4 linked regions of the Anolis sagrei genome follow. The protein of the gene in region 2 interacts with the protein of the main gene of each other region in a pairwise test. Links are inferred from orthologs where the notes say so. Each region holds a gene or a part of one and is shown on either strand. Other genes may lie near its edges.

Region 1 (7,662 bases), on a different chromosome or scaffold from region 2:
GCACCTTCTACACTGCCATGTAGAATCCAGATTATCTGCTTTGACCTGGATTATATGACAGTGTAAGGTAAAGGTTTCCCTTTGACATTAAATCCTACCTTATACCCTGGATCCCCTTCCTGATATCCTACACTGCCCTATCTCCCAGTGTTTTTAAAATTTTTAATCCTTGAATCTGGCCCTGCCCACTGTGATCATTGTTAGTGTTGAATGTTTTGATTTTATACTGTTGTGTTGCTTATTTACATTGGTTCTGCATTTTATGTTATTTTATTTCTTGATTTTTGTTGTGTTTTTGTGTTATATTGTGTTTACTGTATTGATGGGTGTGGCCTCAAGTAAGCCGCTCTGAGTCCCCTTGGGGAGATGGTGGCGGGGTACAAATAAAGTTTATTATTTTACTAGCCGTCCCCTGCAACACGTTGTTGTGGCCCACATGTGGGTTCTGTGTGGGAGGTCTGGCCCAATTCTATCGTTGGTGGGGTTCAAAATGCTTTGTGACTGTAGGTGGACTATAAATCCCAGCAACTACAACTCCCAGATGTCAAGATTCGATTTCCTCCAAACTCCACCAGTGTTCACATTTGGGCATATTAAGTATTCTTGTAGAGTTTGGCCCAGATCCATCGTTGTTTGAGTCCACAGTGATCTCTGGATGTAGGTGAACTACAACTCCAAAACCAAAAGACACTGCCCACCAAACCCTTCCAGTATTTTCTGTTGGTCATGGGAGAACTGTGTGTCAAGTTTAGTTCAGTTCCATTGTTAGTGGGGTTCAGAATGTTCTTTGATTATAGGCGAACTATAAATCCCAGCAACTACAACTCCCAAATGACAAAAATTATTTTTTTCGAGTGAAGGACATACATTGGGTTGTAAGGTGTCTTGTGTCCAAATTTAGTGTCAATTCATCCAGTGGTTTTTGAGTTCTGTTAATCCCACAAATGAACATTACATTTTTATTTATATAGATTATTAAGTCTAGTTGTGTACAACTCTGGGGTGGTGCTCATCTCCATTTCTAAGGTGAGGAGCTGGCATTGTTCTGCATGGTGCGCCTTTACCTTCCTGCTGGAGCGATACCTACTGATTTATTCACATTTGCATGTTTTGGAACTGCTAGGTTGGCAGAAACTGGAGCTAACAGCAGGAGCTCACCCCCCACTCCCCAGATTTGAACTACCAACCTTTCAGTCAGCAAGTTCAGCAGCTCAGTGATATAACCTGCTGTGCCACTGGGGGCTCCATATGGCAGTGTTGACTCACACAGGATATGGCATTGTAGACTCATATAATCCAGCTCAAAGCAGATAATGTGGATGGTCTGATTTAATAATCTGGATTATATACCCGTGTAGATAGGGCCTGAGTCTCTCCCTAGCTTTGTCTTTGGTTAATTCGCTACTTGTGTTGTATATGAGATTTGATGGAGAGACTAAGGATCTGAGAGATGAACAAATAGGGGTGCTGCTGCTGTCACCTCAAAAGCAGAAATGGGTATCCATGGCAAGAAAGAGAGGGACTGAGTATCTGATCAATGAATGAGCTTCTGCCTCCAAAGTGGAAGCAGAAGGCTGGCAACAAAACGTTTGAGGATCTGAGATCTCTTTTGTTCTTGTGTTTATTTATATAAATCACTCTCATTCTTCTCGGGGTCTTTTGACTTCTTTGTGGGCCCTTCCACCCAGAATATCAAGGCAGAATATCCCACAATATCTGCTTTGAACTGGGTTATCTGAGTCCACACTGCCATCTATTCCAGAATGTGAGATTTTATTCAGCTGTGTGGAAAGGGCCCTAGCTGCAGCCTCTCTTGCCTGGTGCTGAATGGACAGCTCCTTTCCTTACAAAATTAAAAGGGAATCAGCAAGAGAAGCTGGTCTTTTCCACCAAGGTCCCTTCCATTCTGCATTATAAAATCCATATTATCTACTTTGAACTGGATTATATAGCAGTGTAGTCATATAATCCAGATCAAAGCAGATAGTGTGGGTTGCATATGGCAGTGTAGATAGAAATAACCAGACAAACAGTGGTTCCCAACCTTGTTTGTTTAGGTTTTTTTTTTTTGGCCTACCGGAATTCTGGGAGTTGCAGTCCAAAACACTGGTGGTGCAGCGGGTTAAACCGCTGAGCTGCTAAACTTGCTTATCAAAAGGTTGGTAGTTTGGTGGTTCAAACTACAACGAAGGAGATTCCATCTGAACATTAGGAAGAACTTCCTGACTGTGAGAGCTGTTCAGCAGTGGAACTCTCTGCCCCGGAGTGTGGTGGAGGATCCTTCTTTGGAAGCTTTTAAACAGAGGCCAGATGGCCATCTGTTGGGGGTGCTTTGAATGCAATTTTCCTGCTTTTTGGCAGGGGGTTGGACTGGATGGCCCATGAGGTCTCTTCCAACTCTATTCTGCTCTGGTTAGACCACACCTGGAATATTGTGTCCAATTCTGGGCACCACAATTCAAGAGAGATATTGACAAGCTGGAATGTGTCCAGAGGAGGGCGACTAAAATGATCAAGGGTCTGGAGAACAAGCCCTATGAGGAGCGGCTTAAGGAGCTGGGCATGTTTAGCCTGAAGAAGAGAAGGCTGAGAGGAGATATGATAGCCATGTATAAATATGTGAGAGGAAGACACAGGGAGGTGGGAGCAAGCTTGTTTTCTGCTTCCCTGGAAACTAGGACGCAGTGAAACAAAGGCTTCAAACTACAAGAAAGGAGATTCCATCTGAACATGAGGAAGAACTTCCTGACTGTGAGAGCCGTTCAGCAGTGGAACTCTCTGCCCCGGAGTATGGTGGAGGCTCCTTCTTTGGAAGCTTTTAAACAGAGGCTGGATGGCCATCTGTCAGGGGTGCTTTGAATGCAATATTCCTGCTTCTTGGCAGGGGGTTGGACTGGATGGCCCATGAGGTCTCTTCCAACTCTTTGATTCTATGATTCTATGAGAGGCGGATGAGCTCCCTCTATCAGCTCCAGCTCCTCATGCGGGGACATGAGAGAAGCCTCCCTCAAGGATGATAAAAACATCAAAATCATCCAGGCGTTCCCTGGGCAACGTCCTTGCAGACGGCCAATTCTCTCACAACAGAAGCGACTTGCTCCTGACACGACAAAAAAAAAAACAACAAAAACCTATGCCCGGCTCCCCAGCCAGAGAGAGAAGGCGGGGCTCTGTGACCCGCCAAGAAAATCCAACAAATGCTACGTTCAGCAGACCTCATTACCTCTGAGGATGCTTGCCATAGATGCAGGCGAAACGTCAGGAGAGAATGCCTCTAGACCATGGCCATATAGCCCGAAAAAACCTACAACAACCCAGTGATTCCGGCCATGAAAGCCTTCGAAATTCTCATGGTGGTTTGCGAAAAGGCCTTACTGGTGCATTATTTAAACTGTTATGTTTATTCATATCATGATCTGATCACCATACTCAATATATCCCATATGCATGGGGGTATTGGGGTAATGATGCAAAAGGTTTGCTGGGGTAGACCCTCTTTCACTCAACCCCCCCCCCCCCGAAACGAAATCCTGGCTACAGGCCCGTAGCCAGGATTTCGTTTCGGGGGGGGGGGGCTGATTTTTTTTCAGGGGGGTTTCTGGGGGGGCTGAGTTTCGGGGGGGGGCTGAGTCTGAGTGAAAGAGGGTCTAGCCTAGCAAATCTTTTGTATCATTACCCCAACACCCCCATGCATATGGGATATATTGAGTATGGTGATCAGATCATGATATGAATAAACATAACAGTTTAAATTATGCAACAGTAAGGCCTTTTCGCGAACCACCATGAGAATTTCGGGGGGGGGGGGCTGAAGCCTCCCAAGCCCCCCCCCCCCCTCCCGCTACATGCCTGCCTGGCTACGCTCCTGAGATCAATAGCTACTACTTTTGCGGGAAGGTAACAGCACTCTATGCAGTCATGCTGGCCACATGACCTTGGAGGTGTCTATAGACAACGCCGGCTCTTCGGTTTAGAAATGGAGATGAGCACCAACTCCCAGAGTTGGACAGTACTGGGCTTTTACCTATGCCCGGCTCCCCAGCCAGAGAGAGGAGAAGGAGGGGCTCTGTGACCCCGCCCCTTCCTTCCTGCCTGCCTGCTCCTCTTTCCCACCTGCCTGGCTGGGGAGCCGCCCTTCGAGGCCGGCCGCCCACCCCGCCTGCTGGGGGCGCTGCAGGAGCCCCGCCCCCCTCCGCCGCCTTCCCATTGGCCCGCCTCTGTCCTGATCACGCCCCCTCATCCGCCGCGTCCCTTTGTACTTTCTCTCACGTGACTCGCGAGCGGCGCGAGGCAGGCAAGGCGGGAGGCGCGCGCCCCCTCAAGCCCGGCCGCGGCCCCGTCTGTCGCGCGCCAGGCGGAGCCAGTCAGCCAGCCAGGCAGCATGGCCGAGCGGAAGCGGGCTTGGAACACGGAGGCCGACCTGCCGGTGTACCTGGCCCGCCCGGGCACGACGGCGCAGACGCCGCGGCAGAAGTACGGCGGGATGTTCGCGGCGGTGGAGGGCGCCTACGAGAACAAGACCATCGACTTCGAGGCCTACAGCGTGGGCCAGAAGGGCTCGCGCACCCCGCGCAGCGGCAGCCGGCACGACCTGCTGGACGGCGCCGGCGGGGACAACGGCAGCGAGGCGCCCAGCGACGCCAGCGAGGTCTCCGGCTCCGTCGTCAGCTCGCCCGGCGCCGAGCGCGACCACCGGGGGACGCCCGGCGTGGCCATCCGCTGCCCGCCCGGCGCGGACAATGGCAAGGTACGCGGCGCGAGGAGGAGGGGGCGGGGCCGGCAGGGGGGGAGGAATGCGCAGCGCCAGGCCCCTACGGTGGCCCAGCAGGGTCCCTGGAAGGCGCCCCCACTTCGCCTGCCAGGGCTGCTCCAGAGGGGAGGGAAGCCTACCCAGGGATAAGGGCCTGGCCTTCCTGCAGCATCCCTTCCCAGCAAGGGTTGGAAACCACTTCGGGGGGAACCAACTGCTTGGTTTGAGGCCCAGTCTTTGGATGGTTTCTAAAGCAGGCTGGACAGCTCCTCTGGGGAGATTCTAGTTCCAGCCCTCCATGTCATTTTATGTGACCTCCAGAGGCTTGGTGGGTTAAACCCCTGTGCAGGGGCGGCTCGTCCATTACGCAAAGTAAGCGGTCGCAGAACACTTTTTTTTGCCAGGGGCGCAGATGCGCCTCTGTAAATGCCCCTTGACCACCACTTGAGGAGCGCCCCCTCAGCTCACAACACCCCTAGCAGTCCGGGGGGAGCCTCGGCTTTCTTGCCTCGCTGCTGGGCGATCCTCTTCCCAAAGGGGCCGGGCCCTTGAGCCTCGCCTAGCCCCTCTCGTTCCTGCTCCACCCGGCCACCGGGTGCGCGAGCAGAGCTGGCGCTCAATCGTTCTCCACGTTCGATCCCTTCCCCATGACCAGCTCCCTTTCCCGATCCCCTGGCGCTCCACTCACCTCCTCTCCTCTCCCCAATCCGCGGGTGGTCCAGGGGGCGGAGCTGCCGCGCCTGGCCCACTTCGGGTCCAGAGGCGTGTCTGAAGACCCCAGCATGCGCACCAAAAGTCACCTCTTCTCCTGACTTTCTCTTCAGCCATTGGGACCAAGAGAGAGAGAGAGAGAGAGAGAGACCCTCCGGCTGGAGGTATCTCCCACCTCCGCTCCCTCCTTTGTTTTTGTGCCTACCTTCAGGAAAGGTGAGCATCTCCACCTCTCTCTCTCTCGCTCTCTCTTGGTCCCAATGGCTGAGGAGAAAGTCAGGAGAAGAGGTGAATTTAGGTGCACACGCCGGGGGCTTCAGGCATGCCTCCGGACCCAAAGCGGGCCAGGCAAGGGAGCAAGTGCGGCAAGTGTAGTTACTGGGATGTATAGTTCACCTACAATCAAAGAGCATTCTGAACCCCACCAATGATGGAATTGAACCAAATATGGCACACAGAACTCCCACAACGAACAGAAAATATATATCAATGATTGGTTGGGGGGGGGGGGCGGCAAAATACTGTTTGCTTACCGTTGAAAATTAGCTAGGGCCGCCTCTGCCCCTGTGCCAGCAGGACTGAAGACCATCAGGTCGCAGGTTCAAATCTGGTGTAAGCATGGATGAGCTCCCTCTATCAGCTCCACCTCCCCATTGTGGGGACATGAGAGAAGCCTCCCACAAGGATTGTAACACATCAAAAGATCCGGGCGTCCCCTGGGCAACGTCCTTGCAGACGGCCATTTGTCTCACACCAGAAGCGACTTGCATTTTCTCAAGTCACTCCTGACACGACCAAAACAAACCAACAAAAAAAACGGGTTGCTGTGAGTTTTCCGGGGTGACTGGCTGTGTTCCAGAAGCATTCTATTCTGAAGGGAGAGATAAACTTCTTAAATAAATAAATAAATAAATAAATTTGACACTTGATTTGGACACAGTACACCTATCAGGCCAACGAATGGCTGGATGGCTCTCTGTCAGGTGTACTTTGATTGTGCTTTACCGTCATGCTGTTGGGTGCAATCCAGCCCTTCATGTGATTTTTGTGTCCTCCAGAGGCTAGACTATATCTCCTGTATCCCTCATAGAATCATAGAATAATAAAGTTGTGTTGTTGAAGTATTTCATGGCTGGAATCTCTGGGTTGCTGTGAGTTTTCCGGGCTGTATGGCCATGTTCCAGACACATTCTCTCCTGACATTTAACCCATATCTATGGCTGGTATCCTCAGAGGTTGAGGGGTCTGTTGGAAAGTAGGCAAGTGGGGTTTATATTTCTGTGGAATAATGTCCAGAGTGGGAGAAAGAACTCTTGTCTGCTTGAGGCTTCCTTGATTAGCACTTGATTAGCAGAGCCATGTATTCTGTTGGGCTGCAGTTCCCAGTATCCCCATACTGCGTGATGGATAATCAAAAGTGATGGGAGTTGCCATTCAGTAGCATCTAGAGACTGTTCTTTGGATGTTTTCAGAAGGGGACTGGACAGCTACCACCCTGGGGAGGCTCTAGCTCAGGCATGGGTAAGCTTCGGCCTTCCGGGTGTTTTGGACTTCAACTCCCATAATTCATAACAGCCTACCAACTGTTAGGAATTATGGGAGTTGAAGTCCAAAACACCTGAAGGGCCAAAGTTTGCCCATGCCCGCTCAAACTCATAAGTGTCAACCTCAAGGCCAGTGGGCCAAATCCCTCCCACCATGTACTTTTATGTGGACTACACCTCCTGTCTTCATCATTCGACATCATGACAACTGTGATGGGAATTGTGATGCAGTAATACCTGCTCTATTCAGTCAGGAGAGTGGGTTTTGCATTCAGATACAAGGCTTGTGTGTATGATGTCTGAGTTTAAAATATCCTTTCACCTTTCCCCAAACCAGAGCCACAAGTCCTGTTGGGTTACAATTCCCATTATCCCCAAAAGCGATGGGAGTTGTTGTTCAATAACATCTGGGATCCAAACTAGGTAAAAACTAAAAAGCACTGACCACTATGTAAAAACATTGTAGTCTGTACCCAAGGAGTCTCCTGAGAATGGCCCTTTGAAGGCAACCATGAGGATGATGTGGCCCTCCATGAAAAGTGATTTGCATCATTTGAACTACCAGTGAGGCCCTTTAGCTATGATTAATAATAATTATAATAAACTTTATTTATATTCTGTCCTGTCTCCCCAGGGGAACTCAGGGCAGATTCTGAG
Region 2 (7,584 bases):
TACAACTCCAATTATTCCATAGTATTGAACCGTGCTATCTAAAGTGGTGTCAAACTGCATTAATTCTACAGTGTAGAAACATCCTATGACTTCCTTTTCAGCTATGAAAATTAAGTGGGTGATCTTAGGCAAGTCATACTCCCTCAGCTTTTTGAGGAAGGCAAGGACAAACCTCCTCGGAATAAATTTCAGAAAGAAAACCCCAGAATAGGGTGATGAGTCCCTAGCACACATACCAACAAGAAACTTCCTATGGAACTCAGTGGATTGACTCCCTGACCAATGACCACATCTATTAGCAGAACTGATTTTGAAAGATGTAAGTCAGCAAGTGTATTTGCAGATGAAATTTGTGCTGTGCAACCGCTTTGCATCATGAACAGGATACTTCCTCTTTTTTTCTCCATTTCTTATGAGAAATAAAAAAAAAGATCAAGAAAAAACAGGATAGCTGCAGAAAGCCTTTGGGCCTAAATCTGTCCACCTGAGAACACGCTGGATGCATCTACTACACTATAAAATGAATACAGTTTGATGCAACATTAACTGTCACAGCTCAATGCTATGGAATCATTGCAGTTGTAGTTTTAGAGCCTTTCCACACAGCCACATAACCCTGAATATCAAGGCAGAATAACACACAATATGTACTTTGAGCTGGGTTATCTGAGTCCACACAGCCACATATTCCAGTTCAAAGAAGATAATGTGGAATTTTATTCAATGTGTGGAAGGGGCCTTAGAAACTCTTAAGCAGATAACCTGCGATTTTATTCAGCTGTGTGGAAGGGGCCTTAGAAGCCCTTCAGCCCTTTCTGTCAAAAGAGTGCAGGTACCTCAACAAACTACAGATCCCAGGATTCCATAGCACTGAGCCATGACAGGTAAAGATCTGTCAAGATGAATTAGTTTTACAATGTAGATCTGCCACAGCTTCCTTCCCCTTTCTGAGGAAGTTATTGCCTTATTATTATTATTATTAAAAAGCAGCACAATATACAAGTGTCTCCAGCAGAGTCAGGCGGAGGCAAGAGGCAAGTCAGCCAAGCAAACAGGACTCCTCTCTGGCATCAGATAAACTCCCATGTGGACATGGCTGATAAGCAAGCATGCCTTTCTTGTGCATCTCAAAGAACATGAACTTGGCCCTGAGGAGCTGGAAATAGCGGGTACACCTACACTGCAAAATAAATGCAGTTTGACACCACTTGAATGGCTATGTCTCAGTGTTACACAATCTTGGAAGCTGTAGTTAGGTTTAAGGTTAGGGTTTGGTTTAGGGTTAGGATTAGAGTTAAGGGTTAGGGTAAGGGTTAGGATTAGAGTTAAGGGTTAAGGTAAAGTTTAGGGTTTGGGTTAGGATCAGGGTTAAGAAGGTTAAGCTTAGAGTTAGGTTTAGGTTTAAGGGTTAGGGTTAGGTTTAGGGTTAGGATTAGAGTTAAGGGTAAGGGTTAGGATTAGAGTTAAGGGTTAAGGTAAGGTTTAGGGTTTGGGTTAGGATCAGGGTTAAGGGTTAGAGTTAGAGTTAGGTTTAGGGTTTTACCATGAAAGAACGATGAACTATGAATATCTGTGTTCCGTTCTGTGTTGCGCAAATAGCGCTCCCGAAGGAGCGAAGCGGAAACAGCGTAACGCTCTGAGCTTCCGGACCCAGCTTTCATACTATTACCGGGATTTTATTCAGTTGTGTGGAAGGGGCCTTAGTCGTTGATTTGGGAGGATGCTTGTGGGGCTGTTTTCTTTACTATTGTCCAAGTGCTTGGTCGTTTTTGTAAGTGCGCTTGCTGTTGGTGTGCGGATATTAATGAAGAATCTCTTCTCAAACACCCAGCCCAACTTTGTTGCAAGGGCGAAGAGGAGGAGGAAGAGGAGGGGGAGAAAGTGCCTCCTTCTAACCCAAGGGGAGGGGGGGAGGGGAGGTGATTGACGGCGGGGAAAAGCCCTGCGAGGGGAAAGGCGGAGGAGGGGACGGTGGCTGCAGCGGTCGGACAAGGGCCAGACTCCTGATTGATGGAGGAGGAGGAGGAGCAAAGTAGAAGCAGAGGAGAGAAGGAAAGAAATCGGGGGAGCCAAGGGTGGAGCTCATTGTTACCAACGTTGCCGGACATGGCGAGGAAAGCCGCCCCGAAAACGAAAAGTGAACCAAGACACTGAAAAGTTTGCGAGGCGCGCCATGGCGGCAGATAGAGCGGAGTCTTGAGGGGGAGCCCTGGAAATGTTGGGCGCCTCTACACCATGCATGGGCCAACTTGGGCCCTCCCTCCAGGTGTTTTGGACTTCAACTCCCACCATTCGTAATAGTCTCAGGCCCCTTCCTTTCCCCCCTCAGCCGCTTCTTCTAATAAATATCGAAGCCCAATTCACTTCCTCTCCGAAGTCCTTCCCAACTTGCAGAAAAGCTTTCCCATAAACCAAAGAAGCCAGTTTAAAGGGTCTCTCCTCTCCAGGCGAAACTGGGTCAGCCTTGGCTAGAAAGAGAGTTAAAGATTCTTTCGTCTCTGAGGCCCTTTCTACACGGCTCAATATAATCCCACATTATCTGCTTTGAAGTATACGGCAGTATGGACTCGGATAACCCAGTTCAAAGCTGATACTGTGGGATATAGGGCTGTGTGGAAGGACCCTGAGGGAAAGGGAGTGGTGTTACTAATGGTGGTTCTTCTCTTTGGGCTGCAGTGCTAAACTGACTCAAACTTCGTCAGAAAGCAGAGTGCTGTCACTGAGCTGGGACTGAGGCCCCTTCCACACAGCTGAATAAAATCCCACATTTTCTGCTTTGAACTGGAATATATAGCAATGTGGACTCCAATTACCCAGTTCAAACATGATATTGTAGGACTTTCTAATTTGATATTCTGGGTTATATGGCTCTATGAAAGGGCCATAAATGGAGTCACTAATGGGTTTTGTTTTTTACACCTAAGTAGATGCTTGTTCTAGACTGGTTCTTTACTCTATCCCAGGATCTAAACCCAGATGATCTTTTTGTCCCAGATAATTTGGCAGTGGAGACTCATTTAATCCAGTTCTAAGCAGATTATCTGTGGCCCCTTCCACATTAAAACCTCATGTTATTTGCTTTGAATTGGAATATATGGCTGTGTAGACTCAGATAACCATCCACACACCTATTTAACCCAGAATATCAAGCCAGAAAATCCTACAATATCTGCTTTGAACTGGGTTATCCGAGTCCACACTGTCATATATCCCAGTTCAAAGCAGAAAATGTGGGGTTTAATTTAGCTGTGTGGAAGGGGCCCCAGTTCAAGCAGATATTGTGGGGATTTTCTGCCTTGATATTCTGGGTTACGAGTCCACACTGCCATATATTCCAGGGCCCTTCCACACAGCCCTATATCCCAGAATATCAAGGCCAAAAATCCCACATTATCTGCGTGTGGATTCAGATAACCCAGAGCCCTTCCACACAGCCATATAACCCTGGCAGAAAATCCCACAATATACCCCAGTTCAAAGCAAATAATGAGGGATTTTACTCAGCTGTGTGGAAGGGGCCCCAGTTCAAAGCAAATATTGTTCGATTTTCTGCCTTGAAAATCCAACAATTTTCACCACAAATGAAGAGAGATATTGACAAGCTGGAATGTGTCCAGAGGAGAGCGACTAAAATGATCAAGGGTCTGGAGAACAAGCCCTATGAGGAGCGGCTTAAAGAGCTGGGCATGTTTAGCTTGAAGAAGAGAAGGCTGAGAGTAGACATGATAGCCATGTATAAATATGTGAGAGGAAGTCATAGGGAGCAAGTTTGTTTTCCGCTGCTCTGGAGACTAGGCTTCAAACTACAAGAAGGGAGATTCCACCTGAACATTAGGAAGAACTTCCTGACTGTGAGAGCTGTTCAGCAGTGGAACTCTCTGCCCCGGAGTGTGGTGGAGGCTCCTTCTTTAGAGGCTTTTAAACAGAGGCTGGATGGCCATCTGTCAGGGGTGCTTTGAATGCAGTTTTCCTGCTTCTTGGCAGGGGCTTGGACTGGATGGCCCATGAGATCCCTTCCAACTCTATGATTCTATGATATACTGGGTTATGTGGCTGTGTGGAAAGGTCCTGAGATGGATGAGATCCTTGGATACAGGGCAGCCTAAAACACTAGTCTTGGGCCTCTGGGCTGGGTTGGGACTGCGAGGGAAGGAAGGAAGGGAGAGGAGGAGGAGGAGGGGCCTCTCATCATCCCTCCCCCCCTCTTTCCCCCCTCCCTTCAGGGGTCCCAAAGGCCCCGTGAGTCATCCTTGGCCGGCTTTGGGGCCTCCTGATTGGCTCTCCGGGCGCTTGTTGGACGGGAGGGGCGTGCCCGGGGTATAAAAGGCGCTCCTCCTCGGCCCGCAGCGCCTTTCTTGCCTTGCGCACCTGCAGCAGAAGCCTTCCACGCCGTCTCCTCCTCCTCCTCCTCCACTCCACACACTTTTGGGATTACAACAACCATGAGCACCACGAGCAGCCAGCGCACCTCGTCTTACCGCCGCATGTTCGGAGGCTCCGGCCGGTCCAGCATGGGGGGTGGTGGAGGCGGCGGCGGCACCCGCTACGTCTCCTCTTCCTCGACGCGCTACTCCCTGGGCAGCGCCATCCGGCCCAGCAGCGTGCGCCTGGTCTCCTCGGCGCCCGGCGGCGGGATCTACGCCTCCAAGTCGGTGCGCTTGCGGTCCAGCATGCCCGCGATGCGCCACTTGGGCGACGCCGGCGTGGACTTCTCCCTGGCCGACGCCATCAACACGGAGTTCAAGGCCAACCGCACCAACGAGAAGGCCGAGCTGCAGGAGCTCAACGACCGCTTCGCCAACTACATCGACAAGGTGCGCTTCCTGGAGCAGCAGAACAAGATCCTGCTGGCGGAGCTGGAGCAGCTCAAGGGCAAAGGCACCTCCCGCCTGGGAGACCTCTACGAGGAGGAGATGCGCGAGCTCCGCCGCCAGGTCGACCAGCTCACCAACGACAAGGCGCGCGTGGAAGTGGAGCGGGACAACCTCAGCGACGACATCCTGCGCCTCCGGGAGAAGTAAGCGCGCGACGGGCAGGGCGGGCAGGGCAGGGCAGGGCGCATGCGCGGGGGAGAGGCCAGCAGAGGGCTGGTGGGTTTGTGGGACAGGTGTCAAGTCTAAGGGCCCTTCCACACACACAGCCCTATATCCCAGAATATCATGGTAGTATGGACTCATAACTCAGTTCAAGGCAGATATTGTGGGATTTTCTGCCTTGATACTCTGTGTGGAAGGACCCTAAATTGGAGGGAGAGGTGAATCTGCTCTTTCGGACTAATGTCACAACTTAGTTTTACTTGTATACCACTTTTCCATTGATACACAATGTACAATTACGAATATAATACTACTACTAATAATAATAGGTAAAGGTTGTCACCAGACATTAAGTCCAGTCATGTCGGACTCTGGGGGTTGGTGCTCATCTCCATTTCTAAGCCGAAGAGCTGCCGTTGTCCATAGACACCTCCAAGGTCATGTGGCCGGCATGACTGCATGGAGCATTGTTACCTTCCTGCCAGACAGGCCCCTAGGATTTTGATTCGGGGGGGGGGGGCTGAGTTTGATTCAGGGGGGGGGCTGCGTCTGAGTGAAAGAGGGTCTACCCTAGCAAACCTTTTGTATCGTTACCCCAATACCCCCATGCATATGGGATATATTGAGTATGGTGATCAGATCATGATATGAATAAACATAACAGTTTAAATAATGCACCAGTAAGGCCTTTTCGCAGACCATCATGAAAATTTGGGGGGGGGGGGGCTGAAGCCCCCAAGCCCCCCCCCCCCCGGCTACATGCCTGATGCCAGAGCAGTGTCTATTAATCTACTCACATCTGTTAGGTTGGCAGAAGCTGGGGCTGACAGTGGAAGCTCATGCCACTCCCTGGATTTGAACCTGCAGCCTTTCGGTCAACAAGCTCAGCATCTTAGCGGTTTAACACACTGCACCACCAGGGGCTCCCAGTAATAATAATAATATGATACTATAATTATATATTTATAATATATGTAATATTACTAATAATATTACAATATAATGTTACAGTACAATATAGTAATATTTAATACTGATATTGTACTATGCGAATAATATATATTGTATATATATATGTCTTGTAAGCTGCTCTGATTCCCCTTGGGGTGAGAAGGGCGGCATATAAATGTTGTAAACAAACAACAAGCAACAATTACAGACCTGGAAAATAAACATTAAAAATGGAACTTAACAAAGAATAGGCCTGGGCAAAGTTTGGTCCTCCAGGTATTTTGGACTCCAACTCCTACCATTCCTAACAGTCTCAGGCCCCTTCCTTTTCCCCCTCAGCCACTTAAGCGGCTGAGGGAGAAAAGGAAAGGGCCTGAGGCTGCTAGGAATGGTGGGAGTTGGAGTCCAAAATACCTGGAGGGAGGGCCCAAGTTTGTCCATGCAAACTAGAGACCTTTGTAAGATTTACAACTCCCAGCATTGAGCCATAGCAGTCCAAACTATTTCAGCACAACTAGAGAATGAATCCACTTTAAATCTGGTTTCTGCCTCCTGCAGAATTCTGGGGTTTGTAGTTTAGTAAGGCTGTTAAATGTTCCTCCCTAAACTACAAACCCCAGAACTCTGTAGGAAGCAGAAACTGGATTTAAAGTGGATTCGTTCTCTAGTGTGATGAGCACTCTTTAGCCATCTTGAATCCCTATATTTGAAGGAAGGTGGGATAAGAATAAAGTAAATGAATAAGTAAGCTTGTTGGATAGGGTGAAAGGGCTGAGGTAAGGATAATTTCAAAGCATAGGCACCACCTCACTGGGGCCCCTTCTACATAGCTGAATAAACCCCACATTATTTGCTTTGAACTGTGATATATGGCAGTGTGGACTCACGTAACCCAGTCCAAAGCAGATATTGTGGGTTATCTGAGTCCACACTCAGATAATGTGGGATTTTCTGCCTTGATATTCTGGGTTATATGGATGTGTGGAAGGGCCCTGGGAGTCCTGCAGAAGACAGGCAGAACTTCTCTCCTTCCTCCAACACTCAGATCCTAAGCATTGATAAACCTGAACCTAGCAGGTTTTAACTAGGGCCCCTTCCACACAGCTGAATAAAATCCCACATTATTTGCTTTGAACTGGAATATATGACTGTGGACTCAGGCAACCTAGTTCAAAGCAGATATTGTGGGATTTTCTGCCTTGATATTCTCTTGATATGGCTGTGTGGAAGGGCTCTAGAAGACACTGATGGGTATCTCAACACTGTAAAATGAATGCAGTCTGACACCGGGTTGTTGTAAGTTTTTTGGGCTGTATGGTCATGTTCCAGACCAGAAGCATTCTCTCCTGACATTTTGCCTGCATCTATGACAGGCATCCCCAGAGGTATGACATCATTTTAACTCTGGCATGGAAAGCTACTGGCAAAGTAAAACTACAACTCTCAGAATTCACATTATTGAGCCATGGCAAAGTGGTGGCAAACTGCATTAATTCTAATGTAGAAATACCCCCTCCCCCATTGGGTGGGGCCATCTTCCCTTCTCAGAATTAGAAGAGGCATTTCCTTGAAGAATGTGGGTATAGCAAGAGTTTGC
Region 3 (7,563 bases), on a different chromosome or scaffold from region 2:
TTGGTTGCAGATTGCAGTAGGTTTTTAAACAGATAATTGCTTTTCTTTAAAAGTCCCAATGCAACAGATCTGTGGAAAAATAAAAAGTGGGAAATTCAAAATCTAATGCAGCACCCCCTTCAATCTCACTGTATACATTTCTTTCATTGCACTTTTAGACCATGTAATTTAAAAAAGGTAATGTATTGTAGAAGACTTTCATGGCATTACATTAAACATTAAAAAAGTAATGTTTCAAAATTAACGTTTGATGTCGCATTCATAATGTGTGCTCACAAGATTAATTTTAAAATGTACAGTGCTACTTCCAGGGCGTAAAATGTTGAAAATGATACACCAATGATGCTGGTATGTTATATTACAGACTGTTTTGGAAAGATATGCTACATACTTTCAAAGACCGGACCTGCATAATGTGATCTGTGCAATTTAATTAATGAAGAACTGGATACTGTTAATAATTAATAACTAGCTGCAACGATACTTGTCGTATAAAAGGGAAAGTGATTAAAAAACCACCTGTAGAGGAATGGCACAAAAAACCTCTGGAATGTGATAATGAATAAATTAATTACTAACATTAAGACATGGTTTAACAATGAAGAAACAATTGATTTTATGGATGCTAGAAGAAGCATACATTAACCACAAACATATGCATATAGATCTTATAAATGCTTTATAAATGAGAATTCACGCACAATTGATACACTTGCATACATTACATTTGCTTTTTTAACACTGTAATTGAAACATTAAAGTGTAAGTGGCATGATTTTGCTAAACAATCCAGAAAAAGAACAGGCATATAAAGAAATAACATACATATAATGAATAGGTAGAGTATATTCATCCAAATAAGATGTACGTGTCCAGGTTTAAGGATGTCGTTGGGATCATGTTTGTGTAAAGTAGTGCAAGGCTGCTGCAGATTGCTGAGCCATCTCTGTCCTTCCTGAACCGCCTGACAGGGAAACTCAAGCCCTGACACCTTTGCAAGTCCTAAGGCTTTGCTCACGTCCTGCTTGTTTCATTTGTTGACAAGGCAGCCTCAGTGAATCTAAAGATAGCAGGCTGGCTAATGAAGGTGATTTTACCCTGACGCAACCATTCTGTTCATCCCCCTTTTCCAATAAGCAAATATAGACACACACACAAGCTACTCCACAACAGTAGTGGGCTGAATTCAGTTTCAGAAAACTATCCTTTTTCATGAATCCCAATAGTCCACTCACATGTATTGAATGTATGAAGCAGAAGTGGAAAATCGGGACTTCCAAAGGGTTTAATGTATTTGCCTTAGGTGTTTCTAAATATTCACTATTGTTTAAGAAATACCCTGCAAAGGGGAAAAACAAATTCCATCTAGTCCAGCATTGCTTCTGTATGCTAGAACTTGGGACATTTATATTTGGTTATCAGCTCACTGAATCCCCCAGCAAGTATGGCCATGTAAGAAGCTAGATTATGGAAGGTATTCTCTTCCACCCATCCCTCAAAGTAACTTTTTCAAACTCGGTAAAAAATCAGCTATTTTCAGTGACTGAAGAGGGAAATATTTTAAATATATACTTTATTTGATTTTTTTTACTAATTACATTTCTTCTTTATTGCTGAATCTAAAAACTGTCACGAAGTGTTGGTTATTATGTAAAATATAAGTTTTTAAAATCATTTTTATCATTAGACATGGGGCTGTTCTTAAATATCATTCTCAAATAGTAGTGTGTCTTATGCCACCCATATGAGTTCTTTCTCCTTTTTTCTTCTCCTCTTTCTTTTATTTCATCCCTTTTTTTGGATATATGGAAAATAAGGACAGAGAAAGGGACCTATGTTGAATAAGACCAGAGGTGCAAAACAATTGGGATTTAGGGGGCTGCACTGGCTTCCCTGGAGACCTTAGAGCAGTGGTTCTCAACTTGTGGGTCCCCAGATATTTTGGCCTTCAACTCCCAGAAATACTAACAGCTGGTAAACTGGCTGGGATCTCTGGGATCCCAGCCAGTTTTGTAGGCCAAAACACCTGGGGACCCACAGGTTGAGAACCACTGCCTTAGAGGGATGCACCCCGCTGAAAAAAAATTGCCCTCTAAGCCTTTTCCTCTCCAAGAATGGAAATGTGGGTGTGAAGCTCTTGTTTACATTAAGAAATAATTCAGAAGTCAGCTCCAAGTCACTTGTACCAATAATGGCCGAGCCATAAACATGGTGAAACTGCTCCGCAAAGAGTGTCTGGATGCATTTAAGTGTAACAAAAAGTTATATTTTTAAAATACACAATTGATATGCCTTGGGACAATAAAAACTATTCTGGGGCTTTATTCCACCCATGAGTCACACTTTTGCCATCCCTGATTTGCCTCTTGATTCTCTAGTCCAGTATTGCCAACTCTGACTGACAGAAATTATTCTTCAGGATTTAGGCCAGGGCTTTTTCCTAGCCTTTCCAAAACCAGATAAGTCCCTTTACCTCCAAGGTTGCTTCATGAGATTCAATTCTTAAAAGTACTGTAATAAGTATGAAAAAACTGGACAAATTCCACATTATTCTTTCATAACCAATGGAAGTCAATGAATAGCATACCTGCCCAACACAGCAATCACCGCCTTCTTTCTCCAGATCTCATCTTGGTCTGTCACTGGACTCTGAAACTCCACATGGTTTGGTCTTTCCTCCCTTCTCAGTTTGGCTTCTAAAGGCTTTGGATTAGACAAATGTATTTCTGTTTATACCTGGCTGGAAAAAATAGAACATCTTTATTACAAATCAGAGTCACTTCACTGAGAGTTAACAGAGCTATTCAAAGACAACACGGCATTTTTCAGAAATGAGGCCAAGAGGGAATGATTGTTTAAGGAAAAAGGGCCTGGATTTCTTGTAGCAAGCAGCCAGCCGATGAAGATTCCATCACTTCCAGCCAGGGACTACAGTGACTGTTGCTCAAAAACAATTTCTTACTTAAAGTTTCCACTGCAGTGAAAGCTTTTTCATAGTATAAATGCTATTTCAAAATGAGCATGTGCAGCCATTTCAACATTTGCAAAAGTTTGCCCTAATTATTGGGTTTGTTGTTACATTTTTTTAAAAAATACAGTATTTTGGGAAGGGAATTAAATTGACTTTTAAGCTGACCCATTCAAACAGACATCAGAGGCATTAAAAGAGCAGCTCCTCTCTTCGCCCATTTGGCTTAAACAATGCAAAGATTAATCTCTTTCGAGACTTCTGTGTAAAGGGATCAAATAAGAAAAGACAGAACATCTGTTTAATGCAATCGTTCAATGAGAAGCAGAAAATGTACAACTGCTAAAGCACGAGCATGGAAATAATACCTTTCTCCTTAATGTGCCTTTCTCTCATACAAACAGTGCACTTACAAAAGAGCCTACTATGTTAATGGAGAATAAAGCACACAGCGCTTTAAAAATCATTATATGGTAAACCAGGCTTTGCAATCTGCAATCTGTTTCCCACCAAACGACATTTACAAAGCCACACTGGAGATAATCCAAATGCAATCAAGTTCTGGAAGAGCACAGCTGGAGTCATTACATTACAGATAATGCTCGTAGAGTAAGATGGCTGAAAGGGAGCTTGGGGCCACATTACTCAGGGCAAGCTCCCCTTTACTTAAATATTCCTAGTAGATGAGCACCTATCAGCCAGATTGTGATGCAACTCATGCAGAAGAGAATGTATAGCCAGGTAGTTAAAGAATTGGCTTGGACCCAGAAGTCCCTTGTGCTCAATCTGTAGCAAGTCACTTTATGAAACTGAGCTTTTCCTCTATAAAATGGGATGCAGGGCAGTAATCACAAACTGAATTAATCACAACAATGCACTTTTGCAAATTACTACCTTTCAACCACTAACATGCTTTAGAAAAGTATTCACTGAAAAATCACATCTGTAAAGCAAAGGTACAACTTCCTGAGACCCTGTCAGATGTCCCAGCCAAGTAACATCATGAGGATACATTTCCCTTTCATTCAAGTTCCCTTTGTTTGTTTGCATGGTTGCTCATGGTTTGGCCACATTTTCTTGTTAATTGTTTCTGTGTACACTAAAGCTCCAGCTGATGTTTACACATTGAGAACTGGGTCACTGCTTAATTTTGCTCAAGCTGGTATTATGGTGCTGACATGCCTCCAAGGACCTCCGTTCTTCATCCCTGTCTCATGTCAAATAAATCCTCTCTTCCCTAGGAGAATAAAACTGAATTTCCTTTTCTCTAGTACACACAGTGGCCAGGGGAAGACAAAAAGTCTTGAAAATCTCATTCCCTTTTTCTTACACAAGTAACCCTCAATATATATAAAACCAATTCTTCAGCATGTAAATAGGAAACCTTTGCCTTTTACAAGAAAATACATCTCAAACCCAGTGGAAAAGCTTTCTTCCCCTCACCTGCAGGCACCTCAAAATTTCAAATGATATGTAAATTGGTCCAGTGGGTCTGCAAAGTGCTTATCTAACGCTCAGAAAGGTGCTGGGGTGAATATGATCAGTCTCAATTATTCTGGAATGTTCCATTCCAGTGTCAAAACTCTAGATACTGCCTGCGGTTTTGGATTGCCTTAGAAAACAGCAGGGCATCTGTCCTTTTGCTGCCCTGACACGTCTCCACAGTGTCCTAGCCAAGGTCAGATGCTCAATACAGCAGTAAAACTATGTGAACAATCAATGCCATCTATATCCGCTGGACACCCCCTTCTCTGAAACAAACCAGTCTTCTTTTTAAAAGAATTCTGCATGCCACAACACAAAATTTTAAATCTCATTCCCCCTGCATGCAAACATGTGTTGATAAGTCCAAATAGTTTATAATAAATACCCTTCTGTGGAATGGAAAGCATCTACTAAAAATAACAGGGAGTGACATCAGTCAAGGAGGTGTTATGTTTTAATGGAGAGGAACAAAAGTGGATGCACAGGACAGTGCTTAAGATAAGCATGGCTTCTTTTGATCCATAGGCATCTCTGTCATTCAACTGTGCCGAATTTTGAGCACGTATTACAAAACCGTTAAGTTTTGATCTAACGGCAGCAGCAGGTTTCTCTATGTGACTATGTGCATGCATCTAAAATCCTCTTCTGGTGAATAAGATAAAATAAAATGCATTTTAAATACATGCTGTTAATTCTCTCACTCATTGCTTAGGAAAAAATCATGCTGCCTTTTTTTGAAAAACCAAATCCATTTCTAACTGAAATGATTCCTGACCTACATTCAAATCAAAGGTGGGGGTGGGAAGTAGACAGATGTCTAAATAACCCTTTGAACAGAGCATTTAAGTCCATCACATTCTGAAAATATTGCCATTTTTTTCAAATGAGGGGAAGAAGAACAATAATTCTTAAAACAAATAAAAAAGTATAGACCTACCTTTTGCAGTAGAAGAATCCCCCTGTGTGTACGTCAGTCCAAATCTAAAGTTGCAGTGAGAACAGTGAAGTGGGAAAAAGACTTCCAGTTCTGAAATTACTGATCCTTCAAAGAAAGGAAAATCATCAGCTTCTCAATCAAGACAGCCCTTGGAAGTTTATTAGATCAACTTTGCAACTTTTTGCAAACTGAAAAACAGTTCTGTTTAGCATCATCCCAGCAGCTGGTTTCTATGTGACGTCAGCAACAAGGAGGATGGTTTTAGAAGTCTCTTCCAATCCCCAGCCCTGTAACTCTATATCTTCTCATATTTTATGTAAACAACTTCATGTCCAGGACATTTTTAGGTTTTATAGTGGAGCCCAGTTTTAAACCTTGCCAAAGCTGTCTGTGTAAATACTAAAACTACAATAGTCAGGATCACATTTCTTTTACAAAAGACAATTCTCTTTCTTTCTTTCCTTTTTACCCTGAGCAAAGAATTTTTTTGCTGGAGTACTCACATATAATTTCCAGAATCACAGTTGTGGCAGCAACCTTCAATTAATTCATAGCTGATCACTCCCCTCAAAATAATAACAATGAATCAAATAAAAACAGACGAATAATCCCTTTTTAAATAAGGCTTCTTTTTATGGAGAACTTGACAAATGTCCAACTCCATCTGGCAAAACGACTCTCTTTAACAAGAATGCAGCCTAACAATCCATATTCATGCCCGTGTGTGATGAATTCTGCATATGACTGCCTTTGAAGACTATTCGACAGCTGCAGCTTCAGTGGAATGCAGTGACCCCACCTCATGATGGTGGGTGGGTGTCACTTGGAGCACACACAAAATGTACAATATTCCAAGTTTCTGCTAGCTGCCTGTTCTCGGCTATCGCAACATGATTCAAAGGGCAAGTTTAGATACTTAAAAGTGAGCCATTTTATACTTTCTGTGTTTTAAAGTTATTTTGACTCTGCACTGTGATTATTAACAAATAAACCTTCTTCTGGTGTTTCTAGAATGAAGAAGCAACACAAATGAAGCAGGGCTCTTTCTGGCATGAATAATAAAGCAGGATTGCACTTTGAACCATGCCCACAGAATGGGGGATGTAATGGGGGAACTGGATAGTGCAGAAAGATTACTTTTTTGCTTTCAATGCCATCAAATAAGGAGTGGCTGGGGATTCTGGGTGCTCTACACACACACACACACACACACACACACACACACAGAGAAGCAGATAGATATAGATAAACAGAAGAGAGAGATCTAACTTGATGAATTTGGATCTATATTGCACAAATAACATCTAAAGGCAGTAAAGGGTCCACTATGCAGAAGTTATTCAACAACATATGTGGAGCCCTGAGCAGGACCCATCAGCCCTTCTATGTCCATGTAGATTCTTCACTCAGTGAATACCCAAGTAGGACTATAATGCTTTGAGCAGATGCTGACCTTGAGTACTGTCTACATACAGGTACAGGGAATCTATGGCAGGTGTTCTGAAGCAGATCTCATCGTTTCTGTGGCCACTGTGTAGCCTCAGTACCTCCCCTCATTGTCTTTTCTTTTACGACCTCCTTGAGAGTGCGCTCTTCCAACCACCAAGTAAGAATGTAAGGGAGCACATTGAACAACGACTCTGAGTCTTCAGAAGCATTTTCTGTCTCATTAAACAAGAATTCTGGGTCATTATAAAAAGCATATTTTTAAAAGCAAGGATGACCAAGGCCATGAGTTCTCATGAAGTTTATGATTTTTTTTATAAAAAAATCAAATATATAAATGCTGCATTGTTAGTGGTGGCTTAGCTCAATAGTAGTTTCAGTCTGATATTTGAAGAAGCCATTGAAATGCTGAAACTATTACTAGTTGAGTGTTCTTTATCTGAAATGCTTGGGACCATTTGTATATATGTACCTAGAGAGAGAACTTCAAGATGGAACCAAAACTAAATATTATATTCATTGATGTTTAATATATACCTTATACAGATAGCCTGTAGGTAATTTGATACAAATGCTGTGTACACAGAATTATCTGAAAGCAAAGGTGTCACTTATCTCAGCCACTTATGTGGACAATTTTGGAACATTTTAGATTTTGAACTCTGGATAAGGAATGCTCAACCAGTATGGGGATAGGCTCAGCCCTTGGACAGCTGCTTTAAACCAG
Region 4 (8,187 bases), on a different chromosome or scaffold from region 2:
CTGCCAAATTGATAATGTGCAAGTATAGGCTGTGGTTCCACTTTAACTGCTATGGTTTCATCCTACGGAATGTGGGGATTTGCATTTTAGGGAGGGGCATTTGAAACAGCCCCATTTCTCTCTCCTCCCACCTTGGTCCTCAAAGCAACCCAAACAACTTTCTTTTCCCAGCAGACACCAGGTTTCCCTGGCCCATGCGGCTCTTCCACCCGGTTGGCAGGCCATGCAAGAGTGTGCATGGGAGTCAGAGCGAACTGCAAACCTTTCACCAGATCCAGCGGCGAACCCGCCGGCACCGGACCATCTTCACGGAAGATCAGCTGCAGGCGCTGGAGGCCCTCTTCCACCAAAACCAGTATCCCGATGTCATTACCAGAGAGCATCTGGCCAACCGGATCCATCTGAAAGAAGAGAGAGTTGAGGTGAGGCTTTGTCTTGCCCCGAGCAATGATGGGCAGAAAGTATCAAATCTATATCTATAAATAAATCAAAGTATGTTTGTTTGTTTGTTCCACAAAGGCTCCTCCATGGCTTGATAGATTTGGACCACACTTGGCACACAGACCCGTCATTACCCAACTTAAAATACCAGTGAAGTTCAGAAACACATCCCTTTTGACTTTTGCCTTATTTTTAAAATGACTTACCTTGCTGGGCCATGAGACTCAACCAGCAGAGCCCAGAAGCAACCACAAGAGGGCACTAGAGTATAGCCAGAGGATCTACAGGGGAAGCAAGCCAGAGGGGGAGGGAAGAAAGGAAAAGAAGGGGGAAAGGAAGGAAAGGAGGGAAAGAGGGAGGGAAAGGAAAGGAAGGAATGGGGGGGGGGGAAGGAATGAAGGGAAGGAAGGGAAGAAAGAGAAGAAGAAAAGGGAAAGCAAGGAAAGAAAGAAGGGACGAAGGACAGGAGGGAAAAAAGAAAAAGAAGGGAATGGAAAGAACAAAAGAGGAAGGTGTATGAGGGAAAGCAATAGAAGAAAGAATGGATGAAGGAGAGGAGAGAAGAAAGAAAAAGAAGGAAACAGAAAGAAAGAAAGGAAGGAAGAAAGAAAGAAAGAAAGAAAGAAAGAGGTGTATGAGGGAAAGTGAGGGAAGAAGCTATTCCTGAGCCAAAAAGAAATGCAAACCCAGTCAATGCCGGGTATATACGTCAATAGGGGAATAAATAACCACAGAAATCTACTGAATAAAACCAGAGGCTGGAAGTAGTTTGTTCATGGCAACTAGTTACTTGGAATTAGTTCCTTTCCCAAATAAACAAAGGCATTAACTGCATTCCCTGAAAACTGTAACTTAAAAGAACAGCTTCACTTTTTGTGTCCATTCACACTGCTGTCCAGATTTAGAAGGCCACCCTTATTACTCCTTGACCGTCCTACTTGCTCTACTGCTTTTAAAAGGTCTTGGGTTATCTCCCCATTTCCCCCCTTTGTCCTTCTCTTTTTTCATTTGCAGCAAACTGTGGGTAAACGGTCCTTTTCCTCCCCTTTTCCACCCCTCTGCAGGTTTGGTTCAAAAACCGCCGCGCCAAATGGCGGCACCAGAAGAGAGCCTCGGTCTCTGCCCTCGGCCTTCAAGGCCCCAAGAAGCCCTCGGAGGGAAGCTGCTCATGAAGAGGAGTGCCGTTTCACCAGTCGAATGCGGGCAGCCCTTTTATTTCTGCGCATAATGCTGGGTTAGAGTTAGGGGGGAAAGAAGACAGATAGTTGGCCTTTTCACAAATACGGGTACGGCCCCTGTATCTGTGGATCAATACTCTTGTTTTCATTTCAGTCTGTCCTCTTTAGGCATTTCTTAGTTCCTTCAGTGCAACTCTGTGGTATCCTTGTCTCAGAGGTCCTTCATGTCATGAGATTTTGCCATTACCCACTGTTTCACGTATCCACGCAAAGTCCAGGAAGGTATCCCATTGCATATCCAGGAGTCATACGGTATTAGCACCATGTTTCCACTTGAACTGGGTCACTGTGGAATCCTGGGGTTCATAGTTCCGTGCGGCGCTCCAGCTCTCTTAGCAGGCCCCAGGATTCCATAGGAGGCTGCCATGGCAGTGAAAGCAGAATCATAGCACTTGAATTGTGTTGGATGAAAGGGGAGTATGTAATAAAATGTAATAAAAGTGGCCAAAATGGTAAATATCTCAATTTCAGCATCTAGATCCTACTGAAGAGCTTTATGTGTTTCCTAAAAAATGCCCCATTAAGAATCCTCGCCTGTATAAAGTGGTCTCCTAAATTGTACCTTGTTCTGCTCTTTATTTGTTGCCATGAATGTATTCATCCGTGCCAAAGGAATTACAGATTAAGCCACGGAAAGGCACCGATGGCACGCAAACATTGCTGTTTTTCATTCATAAGCCTCCCATGTTTTCTTAGAGTTTGAGGGTGCATCCACACTGTTGAATGAATGCAGATTAATGCTACTTCAACTGCCATAGGAGATTGCTTTGGAACCATGGGAGTTGTAGTTTGGCAAGACAAACGACCACTCCTTAGAGCCCTTTGCATTGAACTGTGGCAGCTCAAATGGCCTCAAACTGCACTCATTTGATAATGTAGATACAGTAGAAGCCTCCAGAGACTTGGGGCCAAAGGACCACCGACCCTCCATATCCATGGATTCGGTATCCATAGGTTCAATCAGCCATGGCTTGGAAATATTTTAAAAATAATCTGAAAAGCAAAGCTTGATTTTGCCATTTTTATACAAGGGATGCTGTTGCATATGTTATGTAACAACGTTGGAAACATTTTCTGGTCCTGGTTTGAAAGTGTTATTTCCTGTTTAATTGTGAGGTCCTTACTTTGAAAGCAGTTGTTCTACTCCAGAAACTTTGTTTTTGGGCCACAAACTTTGAGACTCGATTAGAGATTCATTGAAAAACTATCGCAAAATGTGCTGCAGGATGATGTTCCTCTCACAACAGCAAAGTTGTGTCAGTTAGATAAACCTTTTCTATGTTTTTATTATAGAACCAATTAGGAAATGACATTTATAACCCAGGAACAAGAATAGTGTCACATAGTGTAATGGTGAAATCAAGCAATTTAAAGCAGTAGCAGATACTGAGATCCGGATTGTGGACAGGGAATCCCAATAGCACGGTACCGAGATCCATTAAGCGGATGACGGGTACAAGCAGCATGCCACCTGTGGATCTGTGCCTGCCGAGACTAAGAAGCTATAACCCAATGTTCCCCGATCAACAAATCTGACCAGTTGAAGAAGCCACCACAACATTTTATTCATTCTGGCCAGAAGGGATGCCAGCCAGTGGTATGCCACTCAAAGAAGCTGACATGTGTGACAAGAGTAAATCAGACATTTTTATACAGTTTGGTCTTTTGTTTTTCCCATGCACACCCAGCTGGAGCCGACCATCTGGGAAGATTCCCTCTGTGAGGCAGTGTTGCAACCCAGATCAGGAAACGAGACCATAAGATTAAATCCACCACACTTGACTGTGGGAAAAAACAATCCTTTTTTATTGATGAAAAATGGTTACAAAATGGAGGAAAATGCAAAGTCAAAATGCCACAGTAAAACTCAGCAGTCAGGAATATCTCTGAACTAGATCAGAATTCCAAAAGCAACACTATAAAAACCTGGAACCTGTTAGCATCTCACTAACCATACTTGGAAACTAGAAGCCTCTGGGAATGCAGGCTATGGGAAACGGGAACTCTGCCAAGGTAATGCCTCAGTCTAAACGATGCTTGATCTAACGAGACAGCCTGGGGGGAGACACTTAAAACTAAAGAAACTTTTTCGGGACATGCCTCCAGGCTTGGAAGCCTCCTTTTCCTTTAATCTACTTGACCTTCGCAGGCTCTGTGATTCACTCCAGCTAGTCTATATATAAAAATGCTCTGGCATAACGAGTACCTTCAAAACAAAAAAAACTATGGGGCCAAATGACCCCAAATTTGGCAACAAAACTCCTCACAATCCAAGGAGTGACCATCACTGAAAGAAAACCCCACAAAAACACCCTTAAATTCAAAAAAGGAAGAAGACAACACGCCTCCCGCCCCGCGCTGAGGACACAGAATGAGGGTTCTGAAGCAGGAGTAACACTAAGGCAAGGGATCAATGGGCAGAGGAGGAGGAGGAGGAGGAGGAGAGGGAGGAAAGAAAGGGGGGAAGGAAAAAAGAGGGAGGCGGGCCACACTCTGTGCACACACTCTGACTCTCTGTCTCCCACACACACACTCCCACAGCACAAGGGAAGGGCGAAGGTGCCATGATGGGGGTAATAGGGATACACGAAACTGACATGGCTTGGAAAGGAGCCCCAAAGACCATCCAGCCCAACCTCATTTGCCAGTAAAGGAAGACACCATCAAAGCTCTCATAACAGATGGCCAACCAGGGAGCCCTAAAGGCCATCCAGTCCAACCCCCTCCTTCCTTCCCTTTCTCCACTTCCCTTCCTTCTCCTTCATTTCTTTCCCTCCCTTCCCTCCTTCCTCCCTTCCTTTCCTTTTCTCCCTCCCTCCTCCCTCCCTTTCATTCCTTCCTTTTTCTCCTCCCCTCACTAGCTTCATCCTCTTTTATTCAATCTACAGTGTAGATGCAAAGTCACCCCTTCCACACTGCCATGTGAAATCCAGATTAACTACTTAGGACTGGATTATATTCATGCGGGGGGCTATTATCACTTTAAGAGACACAGGCACAACGGGAAGTTGTAATCACTCAACCTCGATCACGAACATCTTTCATATGTGATAAATAAGATCATAAGAATCACATTCTTGCCCGCGATCTGTCTCATTTCGTGTGGCATCCGTGCGACGCACGCGCAATTTGAATCTGAGGACCTCCCAAAGGAGCCCAGGCCCAAACCAACCCGGAAATCGGGGCGTGCGCCTCAGTCTCACCTTGATGTAGTTCTACGGTGCAGCGCTCGTGATGGCAAGCGACCAATCCGCGGGAGGCTTTGTCGCAAAGGCGAGCAAGCCGTGGGGAGCCACTTCCGGTTCCGTCCTTTCCGGAAGTGCCTGCGCACAGCGGCTTGATTTGGGACGGGGAGAGCTTGGTTTCTAGGGGTGACGACGAGGTGTAGCCGGCCATGGAGCAGCCTGGGGCCTTGGTGCCGGTCCAGACCGAGGCCCGCGCGGTCGTGGCGCTGAAGGAGGCCGGCCCAGGACCTCCCAAGAGCAGCAAGAGGGTCCTGGACGAAGACAGCTACATCCAGGTGAGCGGAGGAGGCCCAAGGGGCTCGCCTGAGGGACGCTACACCGCAGCTTGACACCACTTGTACAACTCTGGCCTTCTCTGCCCGAAGAGGGCTGCTGCCTCCCCAAATCACACATCCCAGGACCCCATGGCTTTTCAAGTGGTGTCAAAGTGGGTTAAATCTACAGTGTAGATGCGCTCCTAGGGACGGTTATAGTATTTATATCCCACTTTCTTCTCTTAATGAGACTCAGGGTCCTTCCAGACAGCCCTATATCCCAGAATACCAAGGCCGAAAATCCCATAATATCTGCTTTGAACTGGGTTGTCTGAGTCCACACTGCCATATATTCCAGTTCAAAGCAGATAATGTGGGATTTTCTGCCTTGTTATTCTGGGATATAGGTATGTCAGGAAAGGCCCTCAGGGCCCTTCCACACAGCCATGTAACCCAAAATATCAAGACAGATAATGCACAATTCTGGGATAGGTCTGTGTGGACACTTACTTAGGCGATCCCTCGCTTTCCGGGGATGATTGTCTTCCAATATTCTTGTGGGTCCGTATGTGGCTGTGGAGCCCTATTCTTGCTCTGCATCTTCTTCCGCAGTGAGGGCATTGGTTTCCAGGTGGAAGGCGGTCTCGGCCGGGGTTGGCTTGACGCGCCTTCCTCTTGGCACGTTTCTCTTTTTCACCCTCCACTCTTGCGTCCTCAAATTCTGCAGCACTGCTGGTTACAGCTGACCTCCAGCTGGAGTGCTCAAGGGCCAGGGCTTCCCAGTTCTCACTGTCTATGCCAGAGTTTTTAAGGTTGGCTTTGAGCCCATCTTTAAATCTCTTTTCCTGTCCTCCAACATTCCGTTTTCCATTCTTGAGTTCGGAGTAGAGCAGCTGCTTTGGGAGATGGTGGTCGGGCATCTGAACAACATGGCCGGTCCAACGGAGTTGGTGGCGGAGGACCATCGCTTCAGTGCCCTTCCACACAGCCATGTAACCCAAAATATCAAGACAGATAATCCACAATTCTGGGATAGGTCTGTGTGGAAGGGCCCCATGTAACATGATTTGTGGCTGAGTTTGAACCCGGATCTACCCAATTCCTCATCTGACCAACTGGTTGTGATGGCACTGTATAATCAGAGGTGGGAAGAAGCCAAGGGTAAGAGAGAGATTTGGCTGGGACTCTTTGTCATGCTTGATTGTGGCTGGAGGTGACATTTCAGATGACCAGTAGGGCAGTTTCTTTTATCCCTAGCCATGCTGGTTGAGATTAATGGACCCCAGAAAGGCTAGCTTGAAGTAAAGCAGAGCTTTCCTTTCCTACCATTGATGGCAGGAAGCTGGAAATGCTTTCTTTTAGCTAGGTTGGTTGGTTGGTGGATGGGCAGGTGGCATGCTGAAAGATTTTCAAAGCCCTTCTACACAACTCCATATCCCAGAATATCAAGGCAGAAAATCCCCGCTTTATCTGCTTTGAACTGGGTTATCTGAGTCCACACTGCCATATATTCCAGTTCAAAGCAGATAATGTGGGATTTTATTCAGCTGTATGGAAGGGGCCTCAGTCCACACTGCCATATCATCTAGTTCAACGTGGATTTTATACAGCTGTGTTGAAGCGCCCCCAAAATACCAAGGCAGATAATCCACAATACAGTAGAGTCTCGCTTATCCAACATAAACGGGCTGGCAGAACATTGGATAAGCCCAGTTTTATTGTGTCTTAGTGTATTGTTTATTGCTTGTTGTTTATATTGCTTTAATTGTTTTAATTTGCTTTAGGTTTTGTATTGTTATATTGTGTGTTGAGGCCTTGGCCTATATAAGCCGCATCGAGTCCTTTGGGAGATGCTAGCGGGGTACAAATAAAGTTTAATAATAATAATAATAATAATAATAATAAGCAAAAATGTTGGATAGTAAGGAAGGATTAGGGAAAAGCCTATAAAACATCAAATGATTTTACAAAAGCCTATAAAACATTATGATTTTATAAACTAAGCACCAGAACATCATGTTTTACAACAAATCGATAGAAAAAGCAGTTCAATGCATAGTAACATTATGTAGTGATTACTGTATTTACAAATTTAGCACCAAAACATCGCAATGTATTGAAACAGCTATGGATCCAGGCGGGAGGCAGACTGTGTTGGATAATACAGAATATTGGATGAGCGAAGGTTGGATAAACGAGACTCTATTGTATCTGCATTGACCGGGTTATCTGAGTCTACATTGCCTGGAGTGTGGTAGAGGCTCCTTCTTTGGAGGCTTTTAAACAGAGGCTGGATGGCCATCTGTCATGGGTGCTTTGAATGCGTTTTTCCTGCTTCTTGGACTGGGTTGGACTGGATAGCCCACAAGATCTCTTCCAATTCTATGATTCTATGTCATCCAGTTCAAGGTGGATTTCTGGGCCCTTCCACACAGCCATATAACCCATAACATCAAGGCAGATAGTCCACAATATCTGCTTTGAACCGATTTATCTGAGTCCACACTGCCATATCATCCAGTTCAATGTGGATTTTAGATAGCTGTGATGAAGGGGCTTCAGAGTGGCTCACCACTGAAAAAACAGAACAAATGGCCATTTCAGACCGACAACAGGGCAACATTTAAAATAGAACTATTACACTATGTGACACTATGATTTTTTGTTTCTGGGTTATAAATTGCATTTCCTAATTGGTTCTATCATAGGCAAAGGTTTTCTCCTGACGTTAAGTCTAGTTATGTCCGATTCTGGGGGTTGGTGCTCATCTCCATTTCTAGCCGGAGAGCCGGTGTTGTCCATAGACACCTCCAAGGTCATGTGGTCAGCATGACTTCATGCTTCTCTGTTACCTTCTCGCTGGAGCTGTACCTATTGATCTACTCACATTTGCATGTTTTCAAACTGCTAGGTTAGCAGAAGCTGGGGCTGACAGCGGGAGCTCACTCTGCTCCCTGGATTTGAACCACCAGCCTTTTGGTCAGCAAGTTCAGCAGCTCAGCTATTTAA

The links.
Region 1: the proteins of VIM (region 2) and CRMP1 interact in binary tests that used the Homo sapiens proteins (3 or more experiments, as listed by UniProt). The link is inferred for Anolis sagrei from reciprocal best matches to the Homo sapiens genes VIM and CRMP1.
Region 3: the proteins of VIM (region 2) and KIAA0408 interact in binary tests that used the Homo sapiens proteins (3 or more experiments, as listed by UniProt). The link is inferred for Anolis sagrei from reciprocal best matches to the Homo sapiens genes VIM and KIAA0408.
Region 4: the proteins of VIM (region 2) and ESS2 interact in a two-hybrid assay, tested with the Homo sapiens proteins (2 studies listed by BioGRID and IntAct). The link is inferred for Anolis sagrei from reciprocal best matches to the Homo sapiens genes VIM and ESS2.

The regions. Positions count from the first base shown.
Region 1 is NC_090025.1:104,770,288-104,777,949, reverse strand, and holds the start of CRMP1 (dihydropyrimidinase-related protein 1), read left to right. Parts: upstream 1-4,281; 5' UTR 4,282-4,381; coding exon 4,382-4,747; intron 4,748-7,662.
Region 2 is NC_090026.1:105,844,313-105,851,896, forward strand, and holds the start of VIM (vimentin), read left to right. Parts: upstream 1-4,356; 5' UTR 4,357-4,442; coding exon 4,443-5,017; intron 5,018-7,584. UniProt on the Homo sapiens protein: Vimentins are class-III intermediate filaments found in various non-epithelial cells, especially mesenchymal cells. Vimentin is attached to the nucleus, endoplasmic reticulum, and mitochondria, either laterally or terminally.
Region 3 is NC_090021.1:84,695,366-84,702,928, reverse strand, and holds the start of KIAA0408 (uncharacterized protein KIAA0408 homolog), read right to left. Parts: upstream 3,158-7,563; 5' UTR 3,137-3,157; intron 2,741-3,136; 5' UTR 2,588-2,740; intron 70-2,587; 5' UTR 1-69.
Region 4 is NC_090034.1:33,136,929-33,145,115, reverse strand, and holds the start of ESS2 (splicing factor ESS-2 homolog), read left to right. Parts: upstream 1-4,961; 5' UTR 4,962-5,073; coding exon 5,074-5,199; intron 5,200-8,187. Other genes in the region: GSC2 (homeobox protein goosecoid-2), read left to right, coding at 175-422, 1,506-1,613. UniProt on the Homo sapiens protein: May be involved in pre-mRNA splicing.